2 linked regions of the Caenorhabditis elegans genome follow. The protein of the gene in region 1 purifies or fractionates together with the protein of each later gene. This does not show direct contact. Each region holds a gene or a part of one and is shown in the gene's direction. Other genes may lie near its edges. The genes, in order: lin-13 and snpc-3.4.

Region 1 (12,064 bases):
CACCTAATTATGAATCAAATATTACTATTTTTTGACTTATGATATCTCCGTACTCTGCACAGAAAGCAAGAAACTATGAAACATGAAACATGTTCCATAACAACCTGATCAAGTTTGTAGTTGACAGTTTTTTGATATCTTGCTTGCCCGATGTGGGACATGACTTCGAATGACTGGCATAGTAGGTAGATGAGTTAGAGGAATAGAGGTTTTTACAGTTTCTTAGTTTTCGAAAGCACCACATTTTGCAAGAAAGTACATAGATGCAGTTAGGAAAACATATTTTTACCATATCTGATAAATATTTGACAACTTTTGAAAAAACATTTTTTTTTTGGATTTTCTTGAAAAAAAATCCAAAGGGTCCCCCCTTATGAAAAGTTTTCAAAAAAAAATTTAAAAATTTTTGAAAATTTTAATAATTTCATCAAATGTTATAGAAAAATGTAAAATTAATTGTTTTTTTAGCTTCGATGTTCTGAACACGAGTTCAAACAAAAGCCTGAGGTATTGTAGAACTCCTAAGTTCAAAAAACGCACTCACTTCGGATGCTGATATCTCCGTGTAATAATTTTTTATGACAAAGTGATCAACTACAAAGTTGTTTATCTTAATATAAAGTACAATTTTGCAGTTAATCGTTTTTTATCAAAAAATTTGATGGCCGAGATACAAACAGAAAAAGAAGAAGAAAATACAAGCATGAAGTTGCTGCATTTCACACAACTTTATCTCGACCATGAAATTTTTTGATGAAATATCCTCAACTACAAAATTGTACTTTAGATTAAAATAAACAACTTTGTAGTTGGAGTTCTACAATACCTCAGGTTTTTGTTTGAACTCGTGTTCAGAACATCGAAGCTGAAAAAAACAATTAATTTTACATTTTTCTATAACATCTGATCAAATTATGAAAAGTTTTCAAAAAAAAATTTCGAAAAAATTTTTTAGAAAATTTTCATAAGGGGGGACCTTCGGATTTGGAAGTACTGACTTTCTATGAACACGCCAAATTGACAGTGATATTTTTTTGGTCAGGAGTGTGATTGAGCCATGAAAACTTTGGAAAATACTAAAATAAACATTTCCTACCCAAGCAAAATATTTTTTAACATTCAGTTTTATCCATTCATTATTGGTGTTTCAGTCAAAACTTTGCCTGACAGTAACCTGTCAGTTGGCATTTGCCGGCTCTTAGCCTGCTCCTAACCTGACACTCGCCTGACGCGGTTCATTATTCGGTGCGGTAACCAAAAAACTGTATTTCTGGAAATATTTATTTTCAGACATTTTTTACTTTTCGAAAATTTCCCTAAAACGTAACAGATCGTACTGAAAAATGTTTTTGAGCCAAGAAAACTTTGCCTGACAGTAACCTGCCAGTTACCATTTGCCGGTTCTTAGCCTGCTCTTAACCTGACACTCGCCTGACGCGGTTCATGATCCGGTGCGGTAACCCCGAATCTGTATTTCTGGAAATTATATTTTCAGAAATTTACACGAATGAACATATAACTCATTTTTATGAACTTTCACTCAGTTTCTGAAACTTCCATTTTCACTCGTCTGACCCATCACCTGACACTTACTCGCCGTTCACCTGACGCGCTTTTCTGAAAATTTGAGCGAAAATCACTAAGCTGACACTAACCTGCTCTTAGTCCGACAGCGACTTTTAGCCTGATACTAAGCTGACACTAACCTGCTCTTAGTCCGACAGCGACTTTTAGCCTGATACTAAGCTGACACTAACCTGCTGGCGGCTTTTAACCTGCCATTCAGCTGCCACTAACCTGTCGCGCTTTACCTGTGACGCGTCTGCCTACGGAGCAGAAGATTGCAGGTTCGAATCCTGCCGTGGTCGAAATTTTTTTCTGCGAGCTTACTTGTTGATGCTTTCACCGCCAATGATTAAAAATGCTTCATCGAGACATCCGTAAACGAACATTGGAATGAAATTTATATACCAGACTTTTACTAAATCTTCATGATCAATAGTAACTTCTACCACCTTTTTGTGATCATTATACTGATCGGCGGCTGTAAGATTTTTTTATTTTAAGGTAGCTGCTTAGCAAGAACTCACTGATCTTTCTCAAAGCATCAAATAAAAGTTTCCGTTCTCCCGGTTGGAGCTCCTTGGAAAAAAGCTTTGCATCTGCATCGTTTTGTATTCCATTCGGAAGAACAGAATATTGATTGAAAAATGGGCGGAGCCTAAACTTTCAAATAGGACTTTCAGGAAAGTTACAAGAATTGGGTAAATGATTTAGACTTACTCTTCAGGCCTAACTTTTATCACGTTATTTTTTGCAGCTCTTCTACGTAAGTGACCAACTCCGCGTGAAAAATTGCGAATCTGTTGGTTTGATAACATTTTTGCTATTGATCTGATAAAAGTTAAATTTTTTTAAACTAATTTTTTTAACTCGAGAAATTCTATCGATACTCACCTATCCATACGGTATCTTTGCTAGCCTTGAAACAAGTAGTTGTAAATTGAAAAAAATGAGAAATGAATTATCGTTACGCGTTTTATACTAACTATTTTTACAATTTAACAAAATTGGTTTTTTTCTTTTTTTTCCATCCGAAGTTATCAAAACAAATAAAATCCGTATTTTTCGCGTGAGCGTACATCTTCAGTCGGGTCTCGCCTGGAAAATCATATCCAACTTGCGCGTAAGATAAGGTGTGTTGTACGCACTGCCAATGTGAACCAAGACCAGTTTTGCTGACGCAGTTGTCAGCTGGCGTGTTTTTTTCTCTCTTATTTTCAAATTTTGAACATTTTTTGAGAGCGTCGCGTGCACGTCGCGGTTGAATTAACAATCGCGCTCTAATGAAGACCACCTCCCGATTCGCACCGCATCGTACCAATGGTAGTTTAAAATACAGACTTTGTAGTCCCAAAAATTAATTTTTAAAAAGTATTTTTCCGCATAACTGTACTCATAGTTGAAGCTTCAACAGCTGTAGCAAATGATATCGGTGAAAATAATTTTCGAAATTCATTCTATTTATTTTCGGTAGTGTGTTTTCATAACCCCCGCATGCTTTTTTTCTTAAAATGTTCTAACCTTGCTGTGAAAAAAAAACGCGCGAGGGTTGCGAAATAAGCGTGCGCGAAACCGAATTTTTGGTTCCTCCTTTCCTGTTTCCGTAAATCCTGTGCGTTGCGTGCGCGTTGCGGTTTTCGAATTATGGAAGTGCGCTCTACCGAAATTCGCATTGCTCGACATTTTCCTGTTTCTACAGTTATTTACATTTCCCTTTTCAAATGTTTTCAGTAAATCCAAAAGTTTAGTTTTTTGATTATTGTTCTTCTAATTTTTTCTAAAATTTCAAAATTAAAATTCTTTTAGTAACACTACAAATTAATTTATATTGCAAAGTTCCAGTATTAACTTTTCCTAAGCCCAGTATTAACTTTTCAAATCAATATCGAATCTTAATTCTATCCTAATTTCTCTTCTCAAAGTTATTTATTGACTGATTTTTAAACTTTAATCCTATTTTGGAGTTATTGATTCTGCGTTGCGGTCGCGTCGCGGTCACGCCACCCGTTCCTCACTTTTGTAAATTTTCTGAAGGTATCCCAAACGAGAAATCGTGCACAGCGGCTGCGTCGCGGTTTTTCATTTATTCAGTCTCGTTTCGTGTGTGGCTGGTTATTTACGCGGGCTGCCGCCGCCCACTTTCTCTCTTCCCTGCAGTGGCCTAAAATTGTATTGACCGCCGCGAAGTGTCCGCAATTGTGCGCCGTGGTGAACATTAACACACACGGGACCGGAAAAATGTGTAGTGTGTTTTTGAATATTATTTTGTTTTCTAGAGAAAATAAATATAGTTTAGAGTACAGTAAAATTATCGCTGCAAGACCACACTATAGTTGCAGAGTTCTTGACTGAGCGCTTCTTTAAGTTTTCTTGCTTTTATTTTATTTTTCCTGCTCATTGGGTTCAAATGTGGGCTTGCTCGAATTTCCACTTTAGCTGTTTTCTAATTTCGGAGCTGTATACTGTTCAAATCTATAGAATTTAACAATGTACTTTTTTCAAATGAATAAATCTGAAAAATGTGGCACCTGTAGCGATCACTATGACTGTGATCGTGGCGAGACCCGCTCAGAAAAACAACGTGTGCCTTTAAACTGACGAGTGAAATTTGTTGCGAAATTACGATAATAAAACTGGTTGGTGTGTTTGCACAGTTTTCGAAAGTTCTGCCTAATTTTTGGGGTCTGTACTTACGCGACAGAACATTTTATTATTTTCAGTGTACAGTATCCATTTACAGATACCCTTCTTTATTTTGAATCATCTGACCGTTTTAGACCCCAGTCCTTTTTGAATTTGTTTCCGTGGATTACTGTAGTTGCACAGCTAAATTTTTAAATATTTCAAACTGTCGTCAAATATAGCGCCGTAATGTACGCAAACACTTTGGGCAAAACCCATTCACTTTTCTTTTTTCTCCAATCGATTCGTCCTTGCTAGCCCCGTTGCAGTAGACACTGCAGCAGGGCAAAGAAATAGGTCTCGTTTCTCTGCGCCCTCTCCGCTGCTCATAGTCTTCCTACCATCGTTTGTCCGTCTGACCAATAAATATGAGAGACGCAGAGTGGCATATACGCTCTGCGGTACTTTCTATATGACACAGCCTTCAAATTCTCAATTCCAATGCGCGCCAAAAGATCGGTAAAAATTTTTGTCGCAGTTTCAAAATTTTTGTCGATTCCGTAACACGTTTCCGGATTTTGCTTTTTTAAATGAGAATATTATTTTTTCGGGGGTTTTAAAATATATTGAGTTTGAAGTATGACAGGATGTGCGCTGATTCTGCGTGTAGTCGTGTCGAGATCAGTAATTAGTGGGAAAGGGCTCACGAAAGTTCAGAGTTCGGTTTTTTGAAATCATTAGACCTCCAATGAAATAAACTTATCTAATAAAAAACCTAAACATTTTAAAGAGTTCTTATAAGTGTGTTCAATGGGTCGGACACGCCCACATAACCGCGCCCCGTATAAAATTTGTATCATAGTAGTGAGGTTAGCCAACGAATTGCAGTATATTTCACGCGCAAATTTGAAACAATTAAGTTACTGGTATTCACTATACATCGTAAAAAACCGAACAAACGTTTAAAAATACGCAAGTTAGGCGTAAATTAATTTCGAGAACATATGATAGATTCTTGAATAATTATCTTTGATTCAAACTGGAAGTTCATGTAGATTGATATTTTAGTTTTTTTTTGAGATAAAGCTTATCTCCAGTCATTCTTTTCGTTCAGTTCTCTCATTTTTTTCTGTTGCCTTTTTCAAAAAAAATTTCAGCTCTCCAAATAACAACTATGGATGAGTTTGAGCTGTTTCAACAGCTCAACCAAACAGCCCCACTCGTTAAAACGGAGGAGCCAGAAGTTCCAGATGAGGTGAGAATCAGTAATCAAGTTGTTTAAATTACCCCAGAGAAAGTTTCAGCAAGCGAATAACAATCAAAGCGCTCCACTGCGTACAGGATTATCTGATCTCAGTCATGAGATAGCAGCTGCCAAACAGAGAGAAGAAGAGGAGGCACAACGGCTTGCTGATTTTATGCAAAAGGATATGAAAGAGCCTGCTGTCAAGAGGAAGAGAGGATCAGAAGAATATAAAAAGTAGGTTAAGTTTAAGTTATTCAAGGAAACTTTCAAAAATGCACTTAGAAAGCATTCACAGTCAAACATTTGTTAAAATTGCTAAATTTGTGCGAATTTATTTAAATTTGTGCCACTAGAGCGCACTTTCCTCATTCGCAATTCACATTTTTGAGGCCCCACGAAAAGGGGAGCAGAACGAAAAGGGGATCTGCAAAAAGGGGATCTGCGAAAAGGGGAGATACGAAAAGGGGAGATACGAAAAGGGGAGCAACGAAAAGGGGAGCTGGCACAGTGCCAAACGCACAAAACGCTTTTTTATTCTCATTCAACGCACGACTTTGTTATAACCACACTCCGTTATTACGCATCGCGCGTTGTTTAGCGTAAAATACACAAATAATGCGTGCGTTGAATGAGAATAAAAAAAGCGTTTTGTGCGTTTGGCACAGTGCCAGCTCCCCTTTTCGTATCTCCCCTTTTCGCAGATCCCCTTTTTGCAGATCCCCTTTTCGTTCTGCTCCCCTTTTCGTGGGGCCTCACATTTTTCTTGCATCAGGTAATTTTTTAAATTCAATTTAGACTGAGTTTCACCGAGTTTTCATTTAACTGAACGAAATCTAAATACCTGGTTAAATTTTTATTTTTTCATTACCATAAATCAAAAAGGAATTATATTTACACTTACATTGAATATTTCAGAGATCCTCTTGAATCGAAAGCTCCGTTATCCACATTTGGACACTCTTCCCGACCCCGTAGATCAGTAAACTACGCGAGTATTGAACGAGGTGACGAAGCTCAAGCTCAGTCACTGGTTACCGATTTTGGAAGCCGAGGGAACCGGAAAAAGCCGAAAAGAACACGAGATGAGCTGGACGAAAATTATATGGAAGAAAATGAGGGTAATTCTGGCCGAAAGAAGAAACCTAATGCAAAAGGCGCATCCCGTCAATTTCAAGTTCCGGGTTTACCAACCTATGCTAGTCAATATTCAAGACCTCCAAAACAAGAAGATGTGTTTAAAACGATTGTCCCATTAGCAGAAGATGCGCGAGCAGAAGGTGAACGAGTAATTGGATTCCGACTAGATTCACAACCTGCTGTACGGAGGGCTTCTGGAGGATTTCGACGGTTTTGTGCATGGCTCAGTGATAACCAGATTTTTTCGATAATGTTAGTTTCTAAAGCAACGTTCAGATTCTCAATTTAAAATTCAGGCAAACTGTCGATAAACTTTGTATCGTTGGGGCAAATAATGAAGATCATGACGAAATCCTATTGAAAAGTATTCGTCATGTATACAATGCAATGCCTCCAACGTTTCGTCGTGATTGGGAGTATGCTGCAAGGAAGGATGTGTTCGATTCAAGACTTTTTGTTCAAAATATGCCGATGCCGCTTTCCGAAATCTCGGTCACGGACCCGCGTCATCCGGTAAAATTTACGGTTGTTGATATTTATCTAAATCAAAAGTTTTCCAGCCAAGTCCGATTGCGCGCGGGACAACTGTTCGCCCAAATTGCTGTGAAAATCAGCCATTGTTCTTAAATATGTGTGAAACTATTGAACACTACCTAGGACATCATGACGTGGTTCACCTTTTCGGATGTGATATCTGTTACAGAGTTTATCCGTCTCGATATGAATTAACTAAACACGATTGCAAAGAGTTTGCGGAGTACCTGCGTCAATTAACTTTCAAACAGCAAACTTTACATCTTGAAGCCGCGTACATGTACCTCTGCTGTTCTCAGTGCGGATTGTGGCTGTCGGTAAAACCATCAGGCGAAGGAAAGAAAGGATGGACGTATTTTGCAACTGCATTGGTGAGTCATGAGTGATTATACATTTTTTTCTCTGATTACAATTATTTTTACAGATGAACCATTCTTGTCAACCGTTGGTTCCGGTCGTTGCTTACTTCCCAAAACCGTTGAAAGATGAAGGGAAAGGAATACGAATTCAATTTCAAGTGATGTCTGAACTAAACATTGGACTTCCGCTGAGTTGTTCTGAATGTAACATTGAAGAATTTCATTCTGTTGTTGAAATCGAAGAGCATTTCAAAGAAAAACACGAGGCTAATCATACCTGTATAAAATGCGGAAAAACATTTGGAACCGAGTTTATGTTGAAGTGAGTTTTCATTAGAAAAAAATAGTTCATGAAGTTTCAACCACTATTCAAGTTAATCTTATGAAAATTATTGATAAGATGATTATAGAACTGTGGAATATAAACGCGAAGCGAATTATAAAAGCAGAGTGTTACTTTCCAAAAATGTTTTTTTAATGAAATTTTTGGTCTTAGACACTCAGACAACAAATACAATTTAAAGATATTTATTTTTAATTGCTTCGAAACTTTTTTCTTTATTTCTTCAAATTTTAGACATCACGCGCAATCACATACAACTCAAACCGCACAGTTCGCCAACTATTTACAAATGTCGGCTACTTACCAACCACCACCGAGTTCTGGACGTTTGCCATATGTCGGTTTTGGATCGAGTATTCCTGCGATCGGAGGACTCACTAGCGGAGAAGTACAAGCTCTTGAAGCATCAGAAAACAAAAAAAGTGAATTTGTAGAGGTAGAGTGCAGTGAAGCATTTCAAGTTCTAAAATATTCAAATTTCAGCCAGATGAGTACACTATCCGCAAAAAACTACTTCGGTGGAAGCATGCAAAAACTAAGAAGGAAAATCGTAATATTACTGATAGTAACGAGAAGGAATTTTCATACGAACCGGGAGAGTCCTCTGGTGAAGAAGATTTTCAGAAAAGTCTTCTAGAACAAGATAATCAATCTTCGTCTTCTTCTGATTCTGATTCCGATAGTGATGATTTCACATCAAGCAAACAAAAGAAGAAAAGAAATATCAAGATTCGTGGAGATTTGGGATATGAACATATTAATAGAAATAAGTTTTTCGAGCGGCCCGAATCGGAAAAGGAGGCTAGAAAACGAATTGAAAAAGTATACAAGAAGCACGTTTTATTGTCCAGAGAACGTCTTCTTGATCCTGAAGAAGCGCTGAGAATACTAGAGGAATCTCGCATGGTGCATCTGAATTCAATCCAAAGTACCCTAGCGGACGATATTGCAATGAGTTGCATTCGAACTATATCACTTCCTGCATCGAATTGTATAGACCCATTGAAGGACTTGCTGCTGGTTAACAAAATGTAAGAGAATCTATTCTGCGTTATTATCAATTATCGTTAACATTTTCAGCTTCTACTTCTGTACCAAATGCAACTATATTTTCTCCAAAGATCCAGTAGTACATTGCTTGAGCTGCGAAGTTACAGAGGTATGAATTTTTATTTTTATATAAAGTATGTTATGGATATGAATATTTTCAGGACGATCTTATCGAAGTTTATCATGCTGCATCTGGTCCACACGCAGGTGTTCGGTGCATCGATCCCGAATGCAAAGCTCACCTATGCTCCGTGATATCCTTGAAAACTCATCTCAGTGATGTACATTCCAAGCAAGCAACGCTTGAATTAGTTTCCGGTGAACTCGATAATTTCTCTGAAAATCGATTTGATCGATCGCTTATGTTGATGGCAAAACATTTCACTCAATTACAATTCGACGAAAGAACATATCTTGCTCGATTCACCGATATTGAATGCTTCATGCCATTTTCTGGATTATTGGAGGCGAAAGATCAACCACGTCCCATGCCGATCAGGCAGCAGCCACAACAAATCAAACCTGCGTACAGTTTGGTACGACCAGATATTATTGCACCCAATGAACTTATGCGTCCATATACACTTACACCTGCAATCCGACCAGGACAACGTATCAAACCGTATAAAGTTCCGAGAACTGTAAGTTGATATTCTTCATACTCAAGGCGTTTGAATTCATTAATAGTTGTTTGTATACCAAATTTTCACCAATTCGTATTAAAAAATCTTATAATGTTTCAGTCTCGTTGGTACTCTTGTTCGTGGTGTGATCGGGAATATGAAAGCCTCAACCAGTTCGTCGATCATCTCACACGCTTCCATACCCATCCTTGCCCATCATGTGGAAAAGCATTTTCCAGTCAAAATACACGAAGGACCCATGTGTGCTCCAGACTATTCGCTGAAATAAAAGGACGAGGAGCAACACTCTGCGGGCAATGCCCTTCTTGTCCGGAGATTCATCAAGTTGAACGTATTTTTGTGCACATGCTAAATCGACATTTTTCAACGATTGAATATGTTCTTGCAACTGGAGAACTTCTTCCACCAGCAAGAGATGTAGGAATTCGATATAATCATGGAGAGAATGGAGGATATGGTCGTAGCTATGAATCATTGAGAGCCATCGAGCAATCTGTTGTTGATCCAAGAAGCCCGGATTATCGATTGAAACAAGTTAAAATCAGTGCATTGCCAATTCATGGTGTTGAATTGAATCGACTTCCAGCAAGAGATCCACCTATGGGATCATTTACTGTATGTCCTCCAAAAGATAAGAATATTGATCCTCGATTAATGTGCTACATGTGCGAACTGACGTTCGACTCGTACGATGAGCTCACGCATCACATGGACGATCATCCAGAAAAATGGGCTAACTGCCCGTTCTGTGCTGCGAATACTCCGACACATTTCGATCTTCAGAAACATTTGATTCAAGAACATGTGGTGCAGATATCTGGACAAGCTGTAAGAAATTCATTTTTTGTGTTCGTTTTAAATTAAATATTTTCAGTGCTGCGCATTCTGTCAAGAACATCACCGATTTATGTCATCCCATATTTTATTCCGATGCAAACGTGTATCACGATGCACCATTTGCGGGGTAAAATCCAATGATCCACTTGCAAATCGAGTTCATATTCAACGTTCACATGCTCTCACACTTCGACGCTTCCAATGTGCATACTGTATCAAAGTCTTCGTCAGTGTTGGAGAGTACTACGAACACGAATGTGCAAGCGGCGGTGGGCGAGTCTATTCATGTACTTGCAGTCCTAACAAGTTTTTCAACTCACCCATCGAGTTTTGCGATCATTTTGATTCGGTGCACATTCTTAGAAACAAGTGTCAGCTTTGCTCGTACGATGCACCATCACAAGACGGAATGGTCAAGCATAGAAAAACTCATATGAGATCTGGATGTCCGAAAGAGCAAACAAAGAAGCTTTTCATTCTGATGAAGTGCCTGTTCCCGAAGCACAACAGCGGATACATGCGTTTTATTGAAGGTGGTCCAGTACCAGCATCCTATCAAGATGTCGATCGTAGTCAAATGAATTATCTTATGTGCAACATGGGAACCGTGTCTCCGTCGTGTCATAAAAGTTACGCACAAGCTCCGCGCACATTGCTGGAAGCTCTTGAAGGAGTGGCTTCTGATTCAAGAAGCGGTGGATTACAAAAAGTTGTAAATGTGACAACCAGAATGAACGAACCGTCATCTAGTGACGTCATAATGCTCAGCGATGATGAAGATGATGATTGCGTTGTGTTTGAGAAGGCTGTACCAAATGGAGTTGCGCAAGGAAGTAGCACTTCAACTCCTAATCCAGAGAGTTCAATAAATTGTGAAGGTACGTGAACTTTAAATTTTATTTTAAATTATTTATATAGTTTCAATTTTCGCATTTCTCAACATATACATACTTGAATAATGTCATTTGAAATTAATGATAAATTTCAAGCAACAAGACAATTATTTTCTAAAATTCTAATCGAAAAAAGATTTCGACCAGGTAAAAGTTTAAAGATGAATGGTTAAGAAAAACAAGTTGAATTTTAATTTTTCAGTTCGCGTGGAAACAAGTCAAGCTGGATACGGAGGTGCCCAACAACCAGGTTACGTGGATGAAGATGATACTGATTTGGAGGTTGCACAAGGAGGAAAATCACCTTATGGTGAGCCAGTTGTCAAGGAGGTGGTTGATGAGAATGGTGATGATGAGTTGGCAGTAGTTGCTGAGGTTGAAAAGTGAGTTGGAACTTATTAAAAATGAATTTGAGAAAACAAATAATTTCAGCTCAACCGGAACGCTACCATCCAGCATTTCTGCTGGACGTGAAAAGAAGTTCAAATGTCAAAAATGTTCACTGGCATTCTATACGAACGGTTCTCTCGAGTCACATATGAGAGATCACCGACAAGATGCAGGAGCACAATTGTGCACCGAAACTTATGGAATTCCTGTCGTGACAAAAGCGTCGTGGCTGTGCAGAAATTGTTGTGTAGTGTTTGAGAATCAACCAAAATATCAGAAACATATGGTTTGTGACTTGAAATTAATTTCCTGGTTGTAAAAGCACTTTCTCAGGCTATTCACGGAGACACTTGTCTTACTTGTATTCATTGTTCTGGAATTGCATTCAACCATACTGCTATTCAAAATCACATGAAATCTCATGAAGAGAAAAAAGTCCGATATTC
Region 2 (11,402 bases), 3.7 Mb from region 1:
TTACCTATATTTTCAAAGTTAAACATTTTTTGATAAACTCAAAAATGACAAATATACAAGCAGGATATTTACTTTAAATAATTTTTAATATCAAATATTATATGTTTGGTTACTTTTATTCGAGTGAACAAACATGTCATATCGCATCCATCACAATTCTACTCCCTACCTGTGACTTTATTGTTTCCAATTTTATCACAAAAAAAAATGCAGAACTAAATGATAAGAATTGAATTTCCGATTTTTTCCAGCTGACTCATTCTAACTGCCCACGACGTGCCCATTTTTTGGTTTTGAAAATATTCATTTATTGATTTTACTTTTAGAAATTTTGACAGTGTATACATATCTCAGTTTCTATTGGTTTTTTCAAATAATTGCTAACTAAAAAATACGTATTAACTATTTTTCTATTTTTTTGTAGTTAAAATTTTTTTGATAAGTTAAAAAGCAATTAAATTATGTGCTGTCAAAGTTGAGAAAGGAATGCAATAAGGAATATACAGTAATTCCGCTATCTAATGTTCAATCCTCATTAATAACAATTTTTCTCTAATTTATTTCCAAATTTACAATCTATTTTTCTATTTTTCAACAATTCATCATCCCTCTCCAATGTGACCTTAATCGATTTAAACTTGCGATAGTGATGACCTCCGATGACCAATTTTCTTCTGTTCAAATTAATTTTTCCTGTCAATGATTTTATCGCTTTCCGTAGGCATGTAATTTTTCATGCCTACCTACTTGCATATTTCCTTTTTTTTTCTTCATTTGAAAGTTCTTATGTACAAATCAGACGCCTTGAAGACAGATTTTGAATTGAACTCATCATATAAATTTTAATGTTCACATTTTTCTGCTTTTTCTGCTTTCCTATAATTTTTTTTGCAAAAAAGCCCTCATTCTTTACTGGTGACTAACAACATCTAGCAGGTGTCCCAGAGTGAAAGGGCCTATGAAAACCTATACGTTGTGTAAAGTAATGCACTAAAATTCGATCTAAGAAAAAGCTTGCTGTTTTCGAGAAGTTCCTGAGAAAAAAGTTGTTTCCGGTTCAATATTTTTGCTCGGAGAGTTTATTGAACCATGCTTTTTGAAAAGGTTTCAGTTTATTTGACACAAAATTCTTCGTAGGTGTTTTCTTTTTTTTTTGTGAAAATTGAAAAATTATAACCAAGAATTATTTTGTCTTTGTTGTACTTTTAAGTAATAGTAAGGTAGGCAAGGATTTATGCCTACACGCCTGCCTACTTGGCTATATTCCTACTCATTTGCCACCTACTTTATACCTACTTGAATTACCTTTTGTCTCAACTAGATTACCTGAAAACGTTTATAATTTTCATTCCAGCCATCAAAATGAACTCCCGAATGTCAAAACTTCGCCGGAGTATATCCCGCAGTGTATTTCAGTTGAACAGCTCATTGAGCCGACAGAATAGTCTTAATGGACTTGTTGACTTGCCAACTATGTCAAATACTACATTAGTAGATAAGTTTGCTGTAAGTTTTTTTCCTCGAAAGATCACATGAATTATTTACCGTGTTTCAATTATTTGTGTATGCAATGCTCTTAGAAAATCAAACAAGCCACCTGCCAACATCAAAATTTCTTTGCAGACACCGAGCAATTTCCGGCAACTACGAGACCTGATTCGCAACAATAACGAGTTACTTGCCGAAGTTGTGACTGCTTTTGAAGAGAAAGCAGCGCTTGATTTTCATTATTCGAAAACATTGAAAAAGATATCAATTCGGTTGCATAAATTGACACAAAGCGTTGAATCGTGAGTAGATGCTAAATTCAAAATTGCATAATTTGTTCAAAATATTTTGGCGAGAAAGTCAAGGATTTGATTTTTTTAATTTGGTAATTCAGAATTTAACAATTTTTCAAAAAAATTGATGGAAACTATAGTGTGTCTTTAAAAAAAGACTATATTTTAAAGGGGCATACATACATTCAAAAATTTGCAAAATATCTTATTTCAGAGGTATCGATAAAGGCTGGACAAATGTGGCAGAACAATTTGATATTCATGCTACTATTCACAGTAACTTAGGATCTGCAATCACTGAAGATATCATACAACCTCTTAGATCAATTCAATCAAATCAGCAAAAAACTATTCGAGCAGCCGACAATTTCGTAGAGCGAGAAATTCGAAAATTGAAGGATAAGAAAGATGAAACTCAAAAAATGAAACGAAGTCTGTACGTGTTGGCGAAAGAGCTTGAAAAGACTGAAAACTCGGCTGAACGAGAAAAAGCTCAACCGGAGAAGTTTGCACTTCGCCGGAAAAAGTACAAAGATCAGATGATTCGAAGTGAAGATGATTATGTATGGCAGACTGTTGATCTGGAAAAGCAGAGAAGAATGACTGAAAATGTGTTACGAAAAGGTGTAGAGAGTATGGAATCAGTGGAGAGACAGAGATTAGCTCATTGTCAAACTGCATTGGGACGGTATAAGAGAAAGATTGAGACGTTGGGACCGAATTTGAGACAAGTTAGGGAAAGTGAAATTTTGAAATTAGTCAATATTTTATTTTCAGATGTTTGAAAGGCATTCGAATAATCTTGAACTTGCGGTAGATTCTGTTCCGGAGGATTATATTCAAACTATTCAACCATCAACTTCAGCTGTCAATCATATTACCCTGATTGATCTTCATGTAAGTCTTTTCTACGGGAATTACTTTCCTAGAGCACGGAGCAACCGTGGTAGAAGAAAAAATCGGCGGCCGAAAAGGTGTGCGCCTTTAAATAGTACTGTAGTTTTTTCTCACGATTTGTTGAAACTTTATGTGTTTTTATTGTTATATTTAAGTTTATCAAAGATCTATCTAAACAGAAAATCTAAATCTATCTAATAATATACAACTCCACAGAAACTCAAGTATTCTTTGAAGACACACACTTTTTCTCTATTAACAAAAATTTCTCCAGTAGCCGTATTTTGGCGGAAAAATCGCAACATTTTGCGTCTGGATAATAACCTTCTAACTGAAAAACTCTAACATTTTTGAATTTGCCATTTTTCCAAAACATTTTTTTCGAAATTGCAATTGTTCAAAAATAAATTTATATTACTTTTTCGTTTTCAGGCTGAAAATTTCGGAGAAGTCATGTCTTCGACACGACGCCGTCAGAATCTTGAACGAGTTTCAGGAGTATTGGATTCAGAATTGAAGAGACTTTACAACAATCAGACAGCTGACGTTATGGTGTCTAATTCAAAGCAAATTGTGGGTTTTTGGAAAGAATGCATGCCTACTTTATGCCTATTTTCATTTTTTTAATTGAAAACAATAGGAAAAACCAGAATATCTAATAATTCCAGAGCGTTTTGGAATTCATCGAATATCTGTACTACAAGTTGAATGATTCAATAAATATTGTGGATGGAGGTCAAAATCGAGGTTTTCACAGATTATCCAGGTTTCAACATAAGATTAAAGATAAATCGGTAAGCTTTTTACAATTTTTAAAAACTCAAATAAAATTATGAGATTTTCGAAAAAAAATTAGAAAATAAAACAATTTATCAATTCTAGTCTTTAGACACGACATTTTGTGATTTTTCAACAAAAAACGGTACTCGGTCTCGTAACGACAAATTTGTGTTTAATACAAGAATGAGTGCGTCTTTAAAGAGTACTGTAGCTTCAAGCTTTTATTTCTTCCAAAAACTATGAAAAATCGATGAAAATGCGGCAACAAGAAAAGTTTAATTACAGTACACTTCAATGGTTCACAGCTTTTTGTATTGAACATAAATGTGTCGTTTCGAGACCGGGTACCATATTATTGGCGCCAAACAAAATTTTCAATTTTTTTCGTACCGAAACCCATTCCGCACCAGGCGAAGAATAACATATTAATAAAACATTTTTACAGGGTCTTCCAATGACAATTCTCACAATTCCATTATCCGGTGATAATAACAGTCTTCCACCACCTTGTCTATCAATGGAAGCATCAACTGCTTATCCGTCACCACGTGGCAGTGGAGAGTACGAAGAATATGAAAAGGTATATTTAGTTTTTATTACGAATTTTAAAATTATTTTCACTTCGAATATTACCAAAAACTTACGATTTTAAGCCAAAAATACAATCTTCTATACAATCTTAAAATACAATCTTGAAACGAAAACAGTTGTTAAATTCGAAGAGGCGTGCGCCTTTAAAAATTACTGTTAATTATAAATTCTGTTTCTTTTCATAGTTTTTCAATAAATCTCAATCAAAAATCGATAAAAAATTCCACACCAATAAGTTTTAAATTACAGTACTATTTAAAGGCGCACGCCTCTTCGAATTAAACACCCTTTTTCGTATCGAGACCGCGTACCGTATTTCTGCCGCGAAAAACCCATGTAAGTAGTAATCATTTTTCAATCTTCAGATATCCGACGACGGTTTCTACTCAACAACAACAACATCATCAAATGGTGGTCCTATTCGAACAACTACAACTTTCGATGAGCCCACTTCAAGTCCACCGACAATTTGTAGAGTTCTTTATGATTTTGAGCCGAAGCATGCTGACGAGATTGAGGTGGCTCTATTTAATTGAGATCTATATTATAAATCTGAATTATTTTAAGATTAGAGAAGGTCAATGTGTTCTTGTCGAGGATCGAATAGGAGATGATTGGCTCATTGGGCACGTTATAAGCCAACATGACAATTCTTCAATTGATCCACGATCTGGAAGATTTCCAACCACATATGTTTCTCTTAGGCAATGAGACTTTTTTCTTGGCGGCACAATAAAGTTTCCTCTTTTTGTTGGGTCACTCAACGAACACAATACAAATATTTGAGCGCTCGCATTTTTCTCAACCTTTCGGGTTTAAAGCACTTCAAAATGGAATTGAAGAGAGATTGTGAAAGTACATCAGACAGAATCACATTTTGATAGCATTCACTTCACTCAGATGCAAACTTTTCAGTGACTATAAAAAGTCATAAAATAATAACATTAAAAAAGCAAATAAATTAGCGAGAGAATTTTTTGACAAAAAGAAAGAAGAGTGATAGAGAAGAAGGGAATGCTTGAAAGGATCTTGCATTTATTGCTCCGATTCGTAAGTCTCTCCAGCTTCTCCCTCAGCGTATCCGTCGACGTCGTCTTCGGCAGTTGCTTCTTGGTATTGTTGGTATTCTGAGATGAGATCGTTCATGTTGCTCTCGGCTTCGGTGAACTCCATCTCGTCCATTCCTTCTCCAGTGTACCAATGGAGGAAAGCCTTGCGGCGGAACATAGCTGAAAAAATAACGTTTTTAAAACTGATACTGGATGATAGTTTCAAATTTCTTACCAGTGAACTGCTCTGAGATACGCTTGAAAAGCTCTTGGATAGCGGTCGAGTTTCCAACGAAGGTGGCAGCCATCTTGAGTCCTCTTGGTGGGATGTCACAAACGGCGGTCTTGACGTTGTTCGGGATCCATTCGACGAAGTAGGACGAGTTCTTGTTCTGAACGTTGAGCATTTGCTCGTCAACCTCTCTCATCGACATGCGTCCACGGAACATAGCGGCCACGGTCAGGTAACGTCCGTGTCTTGGGTCACAGGCAGCCATCATGTTCTTGGCATCGAACATTTGTTGGGTGAGCTCGGCGACGGTAAGGGCACGGTAAGCCTGGGTTCCCTTGGCGGAAAGTGGTGCGAATCCTGGCATGAAGAAGTGAAGACGTGGGAATGGAACCATGTTGACGGCAAGCTTGCGGAGATCGGCATTGAGCTGTCCTGGGAATCGGAGACAGGTGGTAACTCCGGACATGGTGAGGGATACTGAAAATTGTAATTATTAGGTTTCAATTTGGGTAACTTGTGCATAACTTAAACTTGAACAAGAAATAATAACTTACCAAGATGGTTCAAATCACCGTAGGTTGGGTTGGTGAGTTTGAGGGTACGGTAGCAGATGTCGTAGAGGGCCTCGTTGTCAATGCAGTAGGTCTCATCGGTGTTCTCAACAAGCTGGTGGACGGAGAGGGTGGCATTGTATGGTTCTACAACTGTGTCGGACACCTTTGGCGATGGTACAACCGAGAATGAGCTCATGATTCTGTCTGGGTACTCTTCGCGGATTTTGGAGATGAGAAGTGTTCCCATTCCAGATCCGGTTCCTCCTCCGAGAGAGTGAGTGAGTTGGAATCCTTGAAGACAATCGCATCCTTCGGCTTCCTTGCGGATCACGTCAAGCACATTGTCGACAAGCTCAGCTCCTTCTGTGTAGTGACCCTTGGCCCAGTTGTTTCCGGCTCCGCTTTGTCCGAACACAAAGTTGTCAGGACGGAACAGCTGGCCGAATGGTCCAGAGCGGACAGAATCCATGGTTCCTGGTTCGAGATCGACCAACACGGCGCGTGGCACATACTTTCCGTCTGAAAAAATTTAATTAATTAATCATTCCAACTAAACGATTTCGAAATCTCCAGAAAATTTTAAAAACTCACTGTTGGCTTCGTTGTAGTAGACGTCAATGCGCTCAAGCTGGAGATCCGTCTCTCCCTTGAAGGTTCCGTCTGGCTGGATTCCGTGCTCGTCGGAGATGACCTCCCAGAATTTGGATCCGATTTGGTTTCCGCATTGTCCGGCTTGCACGTGGACGATCTCTCTCATTTTTGCTGAAAAGGTCGTAATGAATTGAAAAACTATATTTAGATAGAGAAGATGAAGGAAAATAACAAAAGAAAGAGAACACGTCATGGTCGATATTGAAAAGCAATGATTCACGGCAAAAATTTAAAATTAAAGGAGTAAGTTTTTTTAATACATTGAAATTTGAGAGATGTTTAATTGGTGATTTGATTCTAGTTTATTGTGCTCTGAAATTAAATGATTCACGGCGAAAATAAGAAATTAAAAGACGAATTAGGAATAAGGTTGAATAAGGTTACCTTGAAAAATATAAGAGATGTTTAATTGGTGATTCTTTTCTATTCTATATAGGTTGATTCTAGTTTATTGCACTCCGAAATTAACTACTTTCGATAAAAATTTCAGCGCAAGTACCTTTCTATTTGCTCTAAAATGAGCCCACTTTTCATAATCGCTACCCCAAAAAGGAAACAAAAGGACGTTGTAGGAGCAGACATGCAGCTCTTGGGATGTATGGAATGGAGACGAAGAAGAGGCGGGTCGGGCGCAGTTGTGTCCGACGCTGTGTGCATTCGGATCGATAATCGCGAGAACACGGGGCGCGCGGCGCCCGCTCGCATTAAAAACCGCAGTGGCCACTGGGGCAGCAGTCGTTGTTGGACTGCAAAGGGTGGTGAAATCGAATAGACTATTGCGAAATATGCAGATATGGGTAGAATGGGTGAAGAGGAAGAGAGCAGAGGCAAATCTATTGCGAAACATACACAAAATGTCCATCAATTCCCTCTCTTTTTGCTTAATCCATTTGTTTTGCGTGTCACCACTAGGTTTGGCAGAAGGAGATAGAGCACACGACACAGATGGCTTTTCATCGGGTGCAATTTGGTGCTATTGGTTTGGGGTAGAGAGGGAGATGCCGCTTGGCGCGCAGTAATCCTATGGGAACCGAATGAAATGTGCTGGGGGCCTGCAGCTTTGAAAAGCCTTCAGAATAAAAGAGATGAAGACGAACCGTGAAGAAAAACGAGGGACAAAAACTAGTTCAATGCGATGGAAATCGTACCCCTGTTGACGGCTGCGGTGGTGGTGAATTGAGAATTGCGGAGAAAAGAGAAACGGAGATGACGTGGCAGTGACAATCGGCTTGGGGTCGCCTATACAATACGATACATATGCAGCCAATACTTCGTCACACATGCAGCCAGTCAGAGAAAGGTCAATTACCGTAGTACACGCGCCAGGAGACAATGTTAATGGGTACTATCTAGATCAGTTGCTGGTTGGATAACGATTTTAAAATACAATCCAAATCAACGGGAAGCTTCAAAAAAAAATTCCAAGAAATAACTGACGAAAAAAGTCGAGTTAAGGGTCGTGTGTCGGCGCTGGGGACGAAAAAGAGCTCTACTCTTACCCCCACTTTCCGTTGTCGATGAGACACATTATACCAAGCGAGAAACATAGAGACTGGCGCCGCCCGTGCTTCCCTCCCTTCTCCCGTCGTTTTTCTCTCCGCGCCCTCTATGTTTCGGATGGACAGGGACGCGAATGCTTTGTGACGGCCTTGACCAACGGGCGACAGCGGTGTCCCTTACCAACCCGCCACAGGCGAGGCATTTCAAAAAATGTGCCCATCCATCTAGCAATTTGAAAAGACGACGCGCCTGGCTTACGAAGTTAAGGAACTAGCCAACTGAAAAAGTGGAACTCAAAATATTAATCAGTTGCAAAGAGAAATTCTATTTCTGTGATTCATTCGGCGCCGAAAAGTAGAAACAACAGAAGAATTTGAGCTGATAACACGCAATCTAGGGAAATGATAAGAACAGAAACAAACAGCAAACAGTTTTTTGGGGAAATTATAATGGAACAGATACTAAAATGACCCGAATAACCAGAAACCATGACAAGCTGTGCAAATATGTTACACGAGAAGTACTTGTACATGTCGAAAATGATGAATGGTATCCGCCTATTGCGCCCGGTTGAGCTGATCGCAGCAAGGACATAATAATTATATATCAGATAAACACGGTGGCTGACCTTCAAGAAAGATTATGGCGGCCTATTTTATGCAATTTTATGCATCAATCACGAATAAAACTACAAAATTACAATTTCCCCAGTCTCCTAAACCGCTGAGAAGGGAATAGTTTATGAATGAGTCACCTTTCACAGGAAATGGAACAGAAAAAGGAAGCTAAAATGAGGGGCAGAACGTTTTAGGACAGACCATTTGCAAATTTAAAGCGCGAAACGATGCAGAAGTAGCTTGAAAGCGTTTTAGGCAAAAAATTGCAAAAAAAAGTAGCGAATGAAGATGAGAATGACAAAAAGAGGGAATGTTCGAGGCCTAAAATTCAAAATTTGCCGCCCAACAAAATTTCCCGCGCACACAAATGTGCATTATTGCGCGTCGGTGTACAATAAACTGTGCAAACACCGTTGTACACCGTACCCCTCCAGAAAATTGTTTTTTTTTTTGAAAAAGCAATTTTTCGAATTCTTTTATCCAACTTTCTCCTCCGTATAACTGTTTGAATTCAATTTTTAAATAAATGGACAGAAAGTTCAATTCTGATGAACAATGGTATATTTCTCCACTGCTCAATTTAGCCACAGTGAAGGAAGAGATGCTGGAAGTTCGAGAGTTGGGAGAAGGTTAGTTTATTATCTTAAAACAATCGAATATTGTCGAATTTTCAGTTATTATCGATAGAACAATGGACGATTTCGATTCAAAAACCGAAAAAGAACATGAAATGGAAATGTGGAAGAACAGTCTGTCTTATATTCAAGGAGTAACAGAAGAAGAATCATTGGAAGCTATTGAAGAAGTTTCAAAGTAAAGTAAATTTCAAAAAATCGAAAAACAACTAATTTTATTGATTTTCAGCCTCGATATGTTTCTGGAGGGGTCATCAGACGTTCAAACTCGACGATTTGAAGATATGAAGGGGGATCGCAAGTTCCTCGAACGATCACCGCTAGTTTCCCACAAGTAAATATTATTTAAACCTTTTATTCAAAAACTATAATTTTTCAGACATGTGATAAGTCGAGAAAAGACTATGAAAACTTCAAGGCAGCGGAAGTCCGCATATGTCACGTCACTGAAATATGACAAATACATGTTGAACGCCGGAGCAAATACTTCTGTAAATTAATTAATAAAAATAAAAATCTTTATAAAATAATTTTTCCAGCTTTTCCATCCTCAATGTTCAATATTAGAGAAATGTGAAGATGACATTGTCCTTATCGTTGATGCACTGATGCCATACAATCGAGAACTTTTATCTTCTGAACTTCGGAGCTCGCGACTTTTGAAGCCAATGACCAAGTTTCTTGTTCGTGGAGACACCCTTCTTTCGGATTTACGGCAGAAATTTGTATGATTTTTTGAATTTAAAACACACATTAAATATTTAATTTTTTTTAAACTTTCAGGTATGTCAAAGTGATACAATTGTTCCATTGGAGAATGGTTTGGAGCTGGATCCACCGAATTTGGATAATGCAACCGCAGTTCGATTTCCATCATCATTTATATTTGTTCATGATACCTTTTATGTGGATATGCCACCCAATGCAATTGACATTTCACAGTAATTAGTAATTTTCTTTAGAAAAATGTTTAAAAACATTTTTCAGCCCAATCCGCAACTTTATGCTTCACCGCGAGATTTATGATCCAGTGGAGGCTTGTAGTATGGAAGGAGTCAGAATTATTGACCTGAAGCTGCGTCTAGGGCAGCCGTACATATTCCAGCATTCTGGGAATTGTGAACATCTACTCGTTTTTCATGATTTGCGACTTCTTCATGAATCGGACCCGTGGGGAATCGATAAATATCCATTCACCTTATACGAGAAGGGAAATGAAAAGAAATGTGATATTTGTAAAAAAGGGCATGTGGAGTAAGTTTAATTCGCAAAAATTATTGTTTTTCCTCAAAGTAAATTAATTTAAAATTTTACATTTCCAGATTCGTCGTCGAACGCCACGAGCTTCTTCCCAACACCTACACACACTTCTGCAGGACATGCTTCCAGGAGTTCAACTATGTGCATGGTGTCAAGACGCATTCATTCATTGCTTGGCCGTATACAGAACTACAGACTGGAGAGCAAAGAGGATGGCCGTTTGGAGATTTTGAACAAGAAGATGATTGAAATAATTTTGATATTTATTTCTATTTATTTTGCAAAAACTTTATGTTTTTACTGGTATTTTTTATAGAAAAAAGGAAATGCTGGACATTTAAAAATTTTATTGTTCTTTTTTAATTGGATTTCATCTGATTGGTTTTGTAAACCATTTTTATATATTTAAATTTGAGTTTTTAAAACTATTGAATTCACTCGACAGGCGTATACGTATTGTGCGTCGAAACACGCTTTTACTCGTATAATTAAATTAAGAAGCGTGTTTTGACGCACAATACGCAACTCGGAACTTATGCGGCAATTCGAAATTAATTCAACCGTTTAAATTTATTTCGAATATTTGCAATCTTTATCAAATATTTAGACCACCTTAAAGAATAACAACTTATTTCAGGAAAAATGAACGATTTTCTCAATTTCACACAACAAAAACGCGAGGAGCCGCAGCAGCTGGTCCTAATCAAATATCCAGGAATTGTCAAAAATGTTGATAAGGTTGGAATACATACGGTATTCAGCAAATAAATTGTCTCTTTTCAGGCACTTCAAACGATGGGCGGTCTCCAACTAATCAGTCAATCTCACTTCAATAATCATTCACTGGAATTAAGT

Evidence for each region.
Region 2: the proteins of lin-13 (region 1) and snpc-3.4 fractionate together in Caenorhabditis elegans (co-fractionation; one large-scale study listed by BioGRID). This does not show direct contact.

The regions. Positions count from the first base shown.
Region 1 is NC_003281.10:7,702,768-7,714,831, reverse strand, and holds the start of lin-13 (Zinc finger protein lin-13), read left to right. Parts: upstream 1-5,340; 5' UTR 5,341-5,359; coding exon 5,360-5,440; intron 5,441-5,483; coding exon 5,484-5,665; intron 5,666-6,346; coding exon 6,347-6,820; intron 6,821-6,864; coding exon 6,865-7,081; intron 7,082-7,128; coding exon 7,129-7,473; intron 7,474-7,526; coding exon 7,527-7,783; intron 7,784-7,820; exon of another isoform or gene 7,821-7,970; intron 7,971-8,038; coding exon 8,039-8,240; intron 8,241-8,287; coding exon 8,288-8,835; intron 8,836-8,884; coding exon 8,885-8,963; intron 8,964-9,015; coding exon 9,016-9,495; intron 9,496-9,597; coding exon 9,598-10,326; intron 10,327-10,372; coding exon 10,373-11,213; intron 11,214-11,430; coding exon 11,431-11,611; intron 11,612-11,660; coding exon 11,661-11,904; intron 11,905-11,951; coding exon 11,952-12,064. Other genes in the region: C03B8.3 (TMEM65 family protein), read right to left, coding at 1,891-2,044, 2,091-2,221, 2,284-2,394, 2,458-2,465. UniProt on the Caenorhabditis elegans protein: Involved in repression of vulval fate, possibly by a tumor suppressor protein Rb-mediated mechanism. May act in a common pathway with retinoblastoma-like protein homolog lin-35 and hpl-2 to influence the ER stress response in the intestine.
Region 2 is NC_003281.10:4,010,982-4,022,383, forward strand, and holds snpc-3.4 (snRNA-activating protein complex subunit 3), read left to right. Parts: upstream 1-9,055; 5' UTR 9,056-9,178; coding exon 9,179-9,281; intron 9,282-9,326; coding exon 9,327-9,465; intron 9,466-9,516; coding exon 9,517-9,621; intron 9,622-9,666; coding exon 9,667-9,778; intron 9,779-9,826; coding exon 9,827-10,012; intron 10,013-10,070; coding exon 10,071-10,228; intron 10,229-10,274; coding exon 10,275-10,541; intron 10,542-10,609; coding exon 10,610-10,796; 3' UTR 10,797-10,902; downstream 10,903-11,402. Other genes in the region: C36E8.4 (SH3 domain-containing protein), read left to right, coding at 1,363-1,506, 1,624-1,790, 1,996-2,512, 2,559-2,678, 3,111-3,251, 3,347-3,472, 3,904-4,038, 4,415-4,567 and 1 more; tbb-2 (Tubulin beta-2 chain), read right to left, coding at 5,085-5,278, 5,334-5,807, 5,885-6,403, 6,476-6,641; tftc-5 (General transcription factor 3C polypeptide 5), read left to right, coding at 11,190-11,285, 11,331-11,402.